Linked DNA regions of Saccharomyces cerevisiae S288C. The gene in region 1 interacts genetically with each later gene. Each region holds a gene or a part of one and is shown on either strand. Other genes may lie near its edges.

Region 1 (6,109 bases):
TCGAAGCAAGGAGAGAATGCATGCTTATATTCTCTATATGCCTTGGATACTCTAAGGATAATAAATTCGTCACAGTAGATTATTTAGTCTCGCAACCAAAGACCATATCTTTAATGTTGAGGACTGCGGAAGTTGCTCTACAACAAAAGGGTTGCCAAGATATCTTTTTAACGGTAGGGAATATGATTATTGAATGTATCAAATACGAACAACTTTGTAGGATTATATTAAAGGACCCTCAACTATGGAAATTCTTTGAGTTTGCGAAACTGGGTAATTTCGAAATCAGTACGGAATCTTTACAAATATTAAGTGCCGCATTTACTGCACATCCTAAATTAGTGTCTAAGGAATTCTTCAGTAATGAGATTAATATCATAAGATTCATTAAATGTATTAACAAGTTAATGGCTCATGGAAGCTACGTAACGAAAAGGCAGAGCACTAAACTGTTGGCCTCATTAATTGTGATAAGATCTAACAACGCGTTGATGAATATATATATCAACTCCCCAGAAAACTTAAAGCTCATAATGACTTTAATGACTGACAAATCTAAAAACTTACAACTTGAAGCTTTCAACGTATTCAAGGTGATGGTAGCAAACCCAAGGAAGTCAAAACCTGTTTTTGACATTCTTGTTAAAAACAGAGATAAACTATTGACGTATTTTAAAACTTTCGGTTTAGATTCTCAGGATTCTACTTTTCTTGATGAAAGAGAATTCATCGTTCAAGAAATTGATTCCTTGCCGCGTATAATTTCGTCCACAACAGAAGTTTCTAATAATAATGCATCCTCAAGTAACGTCGCCAGTATAACTTCTCCATCATCAGTAATGAACAATCAATCATCCATCTTAACACATTCAACTTCACCTGATTCAAGATAACTATAAAACTTGGTTCACTTTATAAAAAATGGAAAGTTCTCAGGCAGTGGGTCGTGACATGAATATTCAAAAGTAAAATTATATATAGGAAAGTGTTTATTTGCATAAAAAGGGAAAAATAGTTCAGACTTTTGTATTTTTACGTATTTATACAAAAAAAGGTTGGTACCGGAGGCTGAGGAAGCCAGTACAGTTGGATCCGGTACATGGAATTGAGCAATCAACCGTAAATATGAGCGCTTTCTCAAGATATTAAATTATTATAAAACAATTTATTTATCCAATTTATACATGATTTGGATCCTCCTTTGGCTATGTATGTTACCTCTCCTTTCCTTCTTCCTTTTTTGTTTTAACTTTTTTGTTCAAGCTTTTATTGTTTCTTAGTAAATTTGATGATGCTGAACTAGATGGTTGGGAAAATAGTGGTAATCTCTTACTAGTCTCCTGCCCTGTAGGTGATGTGATTCGCTGCCCTTTATTTGCATTAAACAATGCATTAGATTTGGACGTTTTTGGATCTTCGATCTTTTCAAAAAGATTCAGGTTAGTTTCTGATTTACGAATGATGTTGGATTCTTTAGCAATTGTCAGATCTTTCAACTTCCGCTCCCAAAGTGGCACCTGTTGATCCAAGATGGCATTTAGTTCAAGAAGTTTTTCTTCATTACATAACCTTTCCTTCGGGTTAAACGGTCCAAATTGGTATCCGCCTTTACCATCAAATTTTAACAGATAGTTATGAAAATGCCATAAACTTGTCCTGTGGCAAACTGATATTAACGAGATACCAAAATTTTGCGCATTTTCGTACATCCTTTGTTCCATTTCTGGGGCTACTGCAGATGTACATTCGTCGAGCACAGCAAACTTGGGTTTATGATAGTACATCCTTGCCATAGCTAACCTTTGTTGGACACCAATTGTTAATTCTTCGGACCAATTTCTTACTATACTGAATGCATCACGAACTTTAATGGCGCATGGTGACTGATTGTCTTCCGTCGACAACTGCTGTGAATCATTTTTGGAAGTCCTTTGCGCCAGCAGAAGTGACATATTTTCAGTGACTAAATCCTCCAAATCTAATAATTGCAGAATTTTTATTAAATCTGCATCGCCTAGATCATAATCATTGTGATATCTTTCTTTGAATTGTTCAATACTGTCTGGATAAATAATCTGTTCCCTGAATGTCGACCTATTGCCCATATACGGCCTTTGGGGTAAATAAAATATTGCGCAATCTCTATCCACAGTTCTACGCGGCATTATTAACTTGGATTGATGATTTTTATTGGGAGTCGCCCTTATCGGCCAAAGCCCGCCTAGAATACGAAATAATGAAGATTTACCGCAACCGTTGGGCCCAATAATTAGTAGATGATTTCCATGCTTCAGATCAAAACTTAGCTCCGGTACTAGAACTTGATTGGCAGGTGTTATTAAAGGAATATTTTCAAACTTTATCCTTGAATCATCATATTCCACTATACACCTTTCATCTCTTGGTTCTTTTTCGTCATCACCTTTATTAGCATCCAACAAATCATTGAACTTGTTCAATCTCAATCTGATACCGCGTAATTGTTGTATATTTCTCTTCAGTTCCACAAATCTTCCGATAGAGCTAGATGCAGTGACTAATAATCTTCTATTTGTGATGAAATCAGCCGTCATATCATTCCCGGGTTCCTTAAGCTGTAAGGTGTCTTCACTAGGTTTGTTTTTGAAAAATATTGGAATCGAGCATAGTACCAAGCCAGCTGCGCCCCAAGTATATTTAATGACAAATGCAGTAGCAACATCATAAATAGCTCTTGCCTTTATTTCTCTGTTTAAAAATAGCACCAAACGGTAAAATGAATAATCAACGTTTTCTAGTTCCCTCTTTTGCCCTCTTAGCAGTGCAATTTCTTCATTGCTTGAATGTAGATTCGAGTGTAAAGATCTGAACCAACTTTCCAAAGATGCGCTTGCCATAGTTAACCTAGTGAAATTCGGTTGAATCAATTTTAGTAATGAATTGGAGGCGTAGACAATTAAGCCCAGTGCCAAAGTTCCTTCACCCATAACACTAGTGTTTGAGGTTAATAATTTGAATGAACAGAGGATCAAATCCAGCATTGGCTTTAATAGCTGATTCAGTAATAATGACGAGTTCATTGAAAATGTGTAAATATCTTTTGTCAAATTATCCTGAATTTCTGAAACAGATTCAGCAGAAGCTACGGAATAGAAAGTATGGTGATTAGATAGATACTTTGAGAGTAGAAAGTCTGAAACTTTCCTATTAATAGTGACAGCACAAAGTTTTGTCGTGTAACTGATCAGTGAATTAATAAAACTGGCGGGAATTCCAAGGATCATCCATTTCCCCAACAATATCTTTGTGAAGTTTGCGTATTGAGCTCTTACTAGTGTGGACACTAATTGACCATCTAAAGTAGCCACACGAAGAGACAGCAATGTTCTGATGTTCAGAAGAATAGCCTGTGTAATAAATAAAATGAGGCACTTCTTATCATGAAGCAAAAGTTTGAACAAAAAATCTACCTTTCCTTTTCGCTCTCCCCCCTTATGATTAGTCTTGCTTTCTTTATCAATTATTATTGCACCATCTTCTGAATCTGTGCTATGTTTGGAGACTATCGTTAACTCTTCTTTGCTACTTTCATCTTCCTCTCTATCTACTGCGGTTTCTTTTCCCTCTTCAATTTTCTTATTTTCTAAAACCGTTGACTCAGAATCCTTCTTATCAGTTTTGTTGTTACTAGAACTGGAATTTGAATTGTAAAGCGTGGCTAGCAACAATATTATGTATGAAGAACGCAGTAAATTTACTCTATGCTTCTGATAAAATGCAGAAGCTGTTGAGATCATTATAAAATCTTTCTTCGGTAACTTTTAATTGTATTATTATCCCTTTTGAGTCTTTTCCATATTCAAGACGAACAAAATACAGATAACAATGTTGAAGACGTTTGTTTTGTACCGGATTGAGGACAAGATGATACTTAAATATAATATTATCTTTGATCGAGCAAAGCCATCAATATCATCATCTAACATTCACTTTACTCCACATTTCATTGCCGCCCTTAATCTTTCGGAGGGTGGTAAAAACTTTACGGTGATAGTTGTAATTAACGCCGAAGGAATATACATCAAAGACGAAAGAACATTAATTGCATATATTCCAAAAATATGAATAATTACCAAATTATTATTAATTTTTGTTTTGAAATTTAAATAAAGCTATTAAATAAGGATGATGGTGTGGTATGTACTATAATTCAATATAAGAGATTAAGATAACGCTGTAAATGGTTTGGTACAATTGAAAAAAAGTGATAGAGCATTTACGAAAAAGAAAAAAATTATGCTACCAAATGTGCATTATTGTTAACAGGTCCATTTGAATCTTTTGGTGTCACGTCGGGGTGACTTAGCTCTGTTCTATTACTCGTACTACCTGTGACATCTGTATTATTGGCAGAACTACTGTTGTCGATAGCGGTTATTTCATTACGATTCACCTGTTTTTCGAAATCAGCATCATCATCATCACCCAAGTTATGGTCGCCGAAACGGTCTGCAGAAATGGCAGAACCATCCCCATACGTGTAAATTTCGCCTTTCCTATTCGTCACAGATCCGGACATGTAACGACCACTCCGTCTGTTCCTCCACCACGTATAAATTATCAATCCTGTGGCGATAAAAGACAACGCAAATGCTGTCCATATCAGCCCTGTATAGGCGGGACCGGCTTTAAACACAACACCATATTTATCATCTGCCGTACCGCTCTTTATAATGGCAATCATAACGGATATGATAATGGCTGCCAATACAGTGGCTACACCAACGCAAACGTGTAGAGCTAGGGCAATGAGCCATAATGGTTGTTTGAACATATATCTGTTAAAGTACAGTAATATAATAAAAATCATGGTAAAGAAGGAAAAGATGATCGCTAAGAGGTTCAAAGCCAAAACAGACCTCACTGCTGGCACATATTGGTGCTCTCTGTGTAAAAGTTTCCCTTCTAGGTAAAGATCGTTGGCGCTAATATTCAGGGCGTTCAGATATGGTTGGAAGTCTGATGTGACTAATGCGTCATAAATAATCGATCTAAAATCCAAGTTTTGTACAGCATGTGGGGAGTTACAATCTAGGATCTTGTTTTCCAGGTTAGCATGGCATAGCGTGAAAATGGATAAGCGATAGTAAATCGGAATTTTCAGATACTCTAGTATATTCGGCGTCATGGCGTTCAATTCTTCTGCGGAAATCGGTTGGACGGATTTGGCATCCGCTAATATATCTAAAATGGGCAAGAAGGTCTGAGGGTTTTCTTGAGCCCAGGAAGTCAGCGTCACTAAAGATGAAAATGTTGTTTTAGGATCAGTGGATGCCCCTAAAAGACTGAAGAGATATGGAATGTACTGTACGGAGCTTGAATTACCGGATAGGCCCGATTGTAATTCGGACAAGATGGACAAAGTTTCGTTGGTGTTACTCGAGGAGCTTATCACATCATCTAATCCAATTAGCTGTTGAGTAGATTGAGTTGTATTTGTCACCGCAGCTAGAGATTGGACCGAAGTGACAACCATTGTCGAGTTGTCCGAATTTTCCATCAATTGGGTTAAGGCAGCAAACGCCTTTTTTGCAGATGATGACTGAGTGAGGTTTTGTTCCAGCAAATCAGATAGAGTGCTCAATGTCTGATTTGTAGAGGTGGTCTGGTTTAGCAGCAATTCCACTGCATCAAATGCGGGGGCGCTTGCCTGCGGCACTAGTGGTTGCAAAGTACTAAACGTGTTATTTAGGGAACCTCCGTTTGAAATTGTGTTTTGTAACTGAGTTAATAGTGTTTGGGCTAAAGAAGATGAAATAGTAGTGTTCATCAAGGTCGCCAGAGCCGTCATTGTAGCTGTTTGGTTCGTGGAGAAAGCGAATAGCCTGAATACCGGTAACAATTGCGCCTTTTCTGACATTGTCAGATTATTCAGAGTTAGCAATGCATCTGTGGAATTCTGTGGGTTATCGGAGTCTTTTAATAAGTCCAGAACCAAAGTAGTTGAGTCACTGGAAGAGTTAGAGCTTGCGGAAGACAGCGAAGCAGAAACTAACCTTGAGAGGCCATCTAGTGTTTCAGTTGCGTTGTCTGAATACTTCAGCAGCCCATTAATCTCTGTCAACTGCCT
Region 2 (2,786 bases), on another chromosome or scaffold:
CCTGCCATAACTGAAGGTGGTAAAGTCGTGGTGAAAATGAAACCAGGTGCAAACGATCTGAACCAATCGATCAATTTCCTAGAGGCTGCGACGTAGCCACCTACGCTACCGAAAGACTTACCTAAAGTGCCGGTGATCATGTCGACACGGTCCATCACAGTCTTCGCGCCGCCCTTGTCATTGGTCTTTGGGGTAGCAATACCACTTGCACGGTGACTTTCAAAATCACAATGTTCTGCAACACCTGCACCGTGAGGGCCGTACAGGCCGACCGCATGTACTTCATCCAAGAAGGTCAAAGCACCGTATTTGTCGGCCAAGTCGCAAATTTTTTCTATGTCGGCCACTGAACCGGCCATAGAATATACTGATTCGAAAGCAATTAGTTTAGGAACGGATTTGGGGTATGACTGGAGCAGTTGTTCCAATTCGTTCAAGTCATTATGTTTGAAAATGTGTTTTTTTACGTTAGCATGCTTAATACCGACAATCATGGACGCATGGTTGAGTTCGTCGGAGAAAATCACCAAGTCCTTCATCTTTTGACCCAGTAGGGATAAGACGGCATCGTTGGCTACGTAACATGACGAAAAAACTAAGGCACCTTCCTTCTTGTGTAAAGTGGCCAATTCGGCTTCCAGATTCAAAGTGGGGATGTTATGGCCAGCAATGTTTCTTGTACCACCGGCACCACAACCATACTTGTCGATAGTTTTATGCATGGCGTCCAATACCTCAGGGTGCTTGGAAAGTGCTAAATAGTCGTTGGAACACCAAACGGTGACCTTGTCCGCCTCTCTCTGGCGATGAGCTAGGGGGAACTCCTTGGCCAATCGGTTGATATTGTTGAAATATCTGTACGATTTGTCAAGTCTTTTCTTCTGCAGTTCGGAATCTATCAGGCCTTCGTAATCGAAACCCGACTCCTGGGTGGAATGGTTGGCAGCAGCGGCTGCTGCTGCTGCTGCATGTGTTGATGACGCTGTGGCAGTGGCAGCAGCGGCACCAGCACCAGTAGCGGTGGCATAGCCATTTTTCGCATGTGGTGCGGCTGTCGTGGACAGCCTATTCAGTGTGGAAACAGCGGCAGAGGAGTTACCGAACCTCGCAAAAATGGAGCGTTGCATACTGAAAAAAAAACCTAAGTACTGTTATGATTATTGAGGGACAACAACTAGCTCTATTAGTTTTCCTTCCAACCAAACTTATATGGGCAATATATAGGAAAGAAAAAAGAAAAGAGTGGGATAAAAAAAAAAGAAACGCGAGCTGAGAAGGGAAGGCGTGTAAAGGAAGAACGGTTGAGAGACAGCAGAGCAGGGTGCAACACACAACCGAATAGAGTATCAGCTGACGGAATGGAGAAGTTTGGTATGATGCAAACGTTGTATTTCTAACAACGCATGGATCAGAACAATGGGCAAGGCAAGATGAAAAATTTCCGTTCCTGCTCTTTCTTCATATATGAACAATGACCAAAAAGCGCCCGCGGCCGCAGACCAATGAGCGACGAAGGCGGCCTTTCCGAGCGGTAGGGTAAGCCGTGCAGGCAAGCTTATTATAGCACCGTCGGGGGTACCACCACTATATCAAACTCCACTGCTCGGTAAAGCATTGTAGTGAAGTCCACAGCAGTGCGTAACGAGCAGCTCAACAGTTAATATAAAGATGCGTTGGTGGCCGTGGTCAAATCAGACAGAAGATCAAAAGCAGCAGCAACAACCGCAGGGTAAAGCAGATGGTGATCGCGTGCTGACAAATTACTCGCGGGGTCAAAAGATCCTCTTAGAAGACACTCCACCCAAGTTTGCCGATGACTTGTCCAATTCTCAGTTGGCCAAGAAGCAAGAACGGGCTACTTTGAAAGAGGCTTGGGACTCGATCAGATGGAGTGATTTTAGTTTGCAGAAGCTGACTTCAATCCCGTGCTTCAGAGACGCGGGCATGCTCGGGTTTTCCAGCATGTTCTTGATGGGATCTATTATATTTATATACCATAAGAGCCCGACTAAGGCCACGAATTGGGCGATGAGCTCTCTGATACTGGGCTCGATTGTCGGATGGGAGCAATGTAGGCTAAAGAGACAAAAAAGTTTCCAGATCGCACAATTGGCAAAGGAAACCGTGGCGAAAAAGGAAAAACCAATGCTCCATAATGTCCCTCATGACCCATCTCTGCCGGGGCAATGGGAGGCCGCCAAAAATGAAAAGCAGAGTCAGTTTGAACAAAGTAACCAGAATTTATCTCAGGCCTCCTCTGAGAAGAAATGGTACAAGTTCTGGTGAAAAGAACGAGGGGGAAACAGAAGGTAGAAGCAGGGCCTTTTAACCGTTTTCCTATGTATATATGCAACATTTCTCCGAAAATACTATAACTTCAATTGTTCACTTTCTCCATTTCTATATAAAAAGCATACATAGAGTTACAAATTTTATATATTACTTGACTGGTCTTGCATGCCGTCCGTATCGCTGCTGTGATTGTCATTATCTTCTTTAATGGACAATTGTTTAAACGTTTGTGTGGTTTCCTCGGCAGAGTTTCTCGTAGGCGGTAAAGAAAATGAATTTTCTGTTCCCATCAAATTGTCTGTATCCTCATCTTCGCCATTTTTGCCGCCGCCATTGTTTCGTACCCCGTCCTTGTTTGAACTTGACTGTGAATGATTCGGTGTGGATACCGTTGAGGACCCCTTGGATTTGGGTAAAGATGTTTTTGATGTGGAAGGTTGGCTGGTTCCTTCTAGTAGTTCATTGAGCACCACGTCATTCCCACCCGTTTCCTC
Region 3 (3,605 bases), on another chromosome or scaffold:
GTTTAGACATTGGCTCTTCATTGAGCTTAGAACCCTTTTGGGCAGAAAGATATCCGTCGAACAACGTTCTATTAGGAATGGCGGATAAATTATTTAAATTATATCACACTAATTTTCCTCCTGTGGTAGCCCTAAGAACTTTTGGTTTGAATCTGACGAATAAGATCGGTCCAGTTAAGAATATGATCATTGACACATTAGGAGGAAATGAGAAATGAGAGGTATGTAAATAGAAATAGACTAGCTCCACTTTTAAGAATTATTTATGCAATTAAATACATGGGTGACCAAAAGAGCGGGCGGATACACGCGTCACCACAAGCAGAATAAAAGGTAAACCTGAAATTGTTTTAACATAAAATGAAAAATGCTTGTTTGCAACCCTATATAGAATCATAAAACATTCGTGACTATAAAATGAATAAACTAAACTATTCTAAGAAAATGAAATAAATGACAAAAAAACGTGTTTTTTGGACTAGAAGGCTTAATCAAAAGCTTTATAATTTGTCACCGTGGTGGAAGTTTTCACCAGCGAAAACAGCGTTGTCACCTAATTCTTCTTCGATTCTCAACAATTGGTTCAATTTAGCCAATCTTTCGGATCTAGCTGGAGCACCAGTCTTGATTTGACCAGTTCTCAAACCGACGACCAAGTCAGCAATGAAAGTGTCTTCAGTTTCACCAGATCTGTGGGAAACCATAACACCCCAACCGGCAGCGAAAGAGTCTTGAGCAGCCTTGATGGATTCAGACAAGGTACCGATTTGGTTGACCTTCAACAACAAAGCGTCGGCAGCCTTCTTTTCGATAGCGGTAGCAATTCTCTTTGGGTTGGTGACAGTCAAGTCATCAGCAACAATTTGAATACCAGCGGTCTTGAAGAAGTGAGACCAAGCTTCCCAGTCATCTTCAGCAAATGGATCTTCGATGGAGACAATTGGGTATCTCTTCATCAAGGAGTGGTACAAGTCAGCCAATTGAGGACCAGTCAACCACTTGGATTTGTCAGAGTTTGGATTCTTGAAGTCCAAGTCGTACTTACCGTCCTTGAAGAATTCAGAGGAAGCACAGTCCAAACCGATCTTGATCTTACCGTCGTGACCAGCAGCCTTGATAGCGTCAACAATCAAGTCCAAAGCTTCTTCAGCAGTTTGAATGTTTGGAGCAACACCACCTTCGTCACCGACGTTACCGGCAGAAGCACCGTATCTCTTCTTGGTCAAAGACTTCAAGTTGTGGTAAACTTCGGAACCAATTCTCAAAGCTTCAGCGAAGGTCTTAGCACCAGTTGGAGCAATCATAAATTCTTGCAAAGCCAAAGCACCACCAGCGTGGGAACCACCGTTCAAAACGTTCAAGAATGGAACTGGCAAAACGTATGGAGAGGTCTTGGACTTAGACAAGTCAGCCAAGTGCTTGTATAATGGGACATTCTTTTCAGCAGCGGCAGCTCTGGAAGCAGCCAAAGAAACACCCAAGATAGCGTTAGCACCCAACTTGGATTTGTTGGCAGTACCGTCCAAAGAAATCAAGAAGTCATCGACGGCCTTTTGGTCCTTAACATCAATGTTAGCCTTAACGAAAGCTGGAGCAATGACATCGTTGACGTTCTTAACAGCGTGCAAAACACCCTTACCCATCCACTTGGATTTGTCACCATCTCTCATTTCCAAAGCTTCGTGGACACCGGTAGAAGCACCAGATGGGACAATGGATCTGAAAACACCCTTTTCGGTGGTTAATTCGACTTCGACGGTTGGGTTACCACGGGAGTCGTAGACGGATCTAGCGTAAACTTTAGAGACAGCCATTTTGATTTAGTGTTTGTGTGTTGATAAGCAGTTGCTTGGTTTTTTATGAAAAATAGCTAGAAGGAATAAGGGATTACAAGAGAGATGTTACAAGAAAGAAGTAAAATAAATTTGATTAATATTGCCATTATCAAAAGCTATTTATATGTTGAAATCGTGGAGATCATGTGTGCCAGAAAAGGCCACAGTTTCCGGGGAGAGGCATACCTTGAGGTGGCTAGGAATCACGGAGACCTCTTGACTTGCAGGGTAGGCTAGCTAGAATTAAGTGAGGTGACAAGGTTTCCATACAGTTTTGACCTTGAGACGTTGCTACTTACGATTTGCAGTATGCAAGTCTCATGCTGCAAACAAAAGAGGACCGCTCAGGTAATCGCTCAATTAGTGGACGTTATCAGGGGCGGGAGAGGCGAAAGTGGTTTTTGGTGGTGTAAGTAAAGGTCGTCCAAATATGCAGGTGTTTGGGTGCTATCCTAGTGGAAGCTCGGATCAGTAGATAACCCGCCTAGAAGCGGTATTTTTCTTTTTTTTTCTTCCTTCTTTTTCGTCATTATTTCAAACGCTTTTGCGTCAAGTAATGAATATCTGGCGGTTCCGCGGTAATGCGACAATTTGTGATATGCACTCTTAAAACCCCGCCACGATGATCGCACGTGCCGGCATTTATAGACGACTTTTCTGGTTGTCCCGCTTCACGGCACATGCATGCATCAATGACCGAATTCAGGTTGCTACTAACCATTGTGTTGTGTTATTGCTGTGCATGAGGTGCTCAAGTGCCCGCGGCATCTGACTAGTGGTAACTCTAGACGGCTTCGATGCAGAGAGTTCCTCAAAATTTTTCTTTTCAATTGTTTGCCTGGTTTCCGCGGCGTATATCAGTTTTTGGCGATATGGTAACGCGATACTCTACGGCACCTTCACGGTAGATGTCTTTTTTAAAAGTGACTGTTAATTCCAGGATTGAAAGGAAGTGTCGAATAGTATAGTATGCTTTCTACACTTATAGTACACTACTAGGTGTATCAGATCAATTGGCCCTTGATAAAAAGCGCTGAGGAAGGAAGGATTCCTATTTTGACATAGCTTTCAATATAGGGCCATTTATATCCATGTTATATATACAATATACTTATGTGTCAATTATTAGAATTGTTGAAGACATTTGTAGGTGAGAAAGTTTCTTGTTTGTCGAGAAGAATTTGAGTCATAATCTTTATATCAAATAACTCTGGATAAGTGCTGTGCATTTCAATAACATGTTGTAATTACTATATATTAATGAAGATAAAAGCTCAGGTTCATCGCATGTGGCGCTATAATGCTTTTTATTTGATAATGTTCCACTTGTATTTTTTTTTTTTTTTAAAAAAATTATCTTTTTTTATAAAGTATGTGAGAAAGAAATAACAAAACATGAACTTTTTTCAAGAATAATGTAGCCCAAAAAGTAAAAAAGGACACTTTTGCAACTACTGCTGAAGACTTTTTACTGAAATGAATTGACTATCAAACATATTATAAGCCAAGCATAGATGAAAGTACGCCGATTTTTTATTAAGCGTGCAAACATGAATGTAGCCCAAGTCCGTAAGGATAATTTAGTGCTTAAATTAAATAAATCACTATTCACGAAAATATTTTTGAAATTTCATTATACAGGGTTATCATAAACCAAGACCGGTGGCAAAAGAGTAACCTAGGAAATTGGACAAGAGAGCGCTATAACTATAGAATACAAGTCAATAAGAACATAAATTCCAATTGTCTAATATAACTAGAAAGGATGTT

The links. Genes that interact genetically often act in the same process or in processes that back each other up.
Region 2: mutations in PXA2 (region 1) and COX20 together harm fitness more than expected from each alone (negative genetic interaction), as found in Saccharomyces cerevisiae (one large-scale study listed by BioGRID).
Region 3: mutations in PXA2 (region 1) and ENO1 together harm fitness less than expected from each alone (positive genetic interaction), as found in Saccharomyces cerevisiae (one large-scale study listed by BioGRID).

What each region holds. Positions count from the first base shown.
Region 1 is NC_001143.9:85,011-91,119, forward strand, and holds PXA2 (ATP-binding cassette long-chain fatty acid transporter PXA2), read right to left. Parts: upstream 3,777-6,109; coding exon 1,215-3,776; downstream 1-1,214. Other genes in the region: HYM1 (Hym1p), read left to right, coding at 1-893; FAT3 (Fat3p), read right to left, coding at 4,274-6,109.
Region 2 is NC_001136.10:925,793-928,578, reverse strand, and holds COX20 (Cox20p), read left to right. Parts: upstream 1-1,668; coding exon 1,669-2,286; downstream 2,287-2,786. Other genes in the region: HEM1 (5-aminolevulinate synthase), read right to left, coding at 1-1,127; IVY1 (Ivy1p), read right to left, coding at 2,433-2,786. UniProt on the Saccharomyces cerevisiae protein: Involved in the assembly of the cytochrome oxidase complex. Required for the maturation and subsequent assembly of the mitochondrially encoded COX2, the precursor of subunit 2 of cytochrome oxidase.
Region 3 is NC_001139.9:999,136-1,002,740, reverse strand, and holds ENO1 (phosphopyruvate hydratase ENO1), read right to left. Parts: upstream 1,815-3,605; coding exon 501-1,814; downstream 1-500. Other genes in the region: putative N,N-dimethylaniline monooxygenase COQ6, read left to right, coding at 1-218; PUP2 (proteasome core particle subunit alpha 5), read left to right, coding at 3,601-3,605.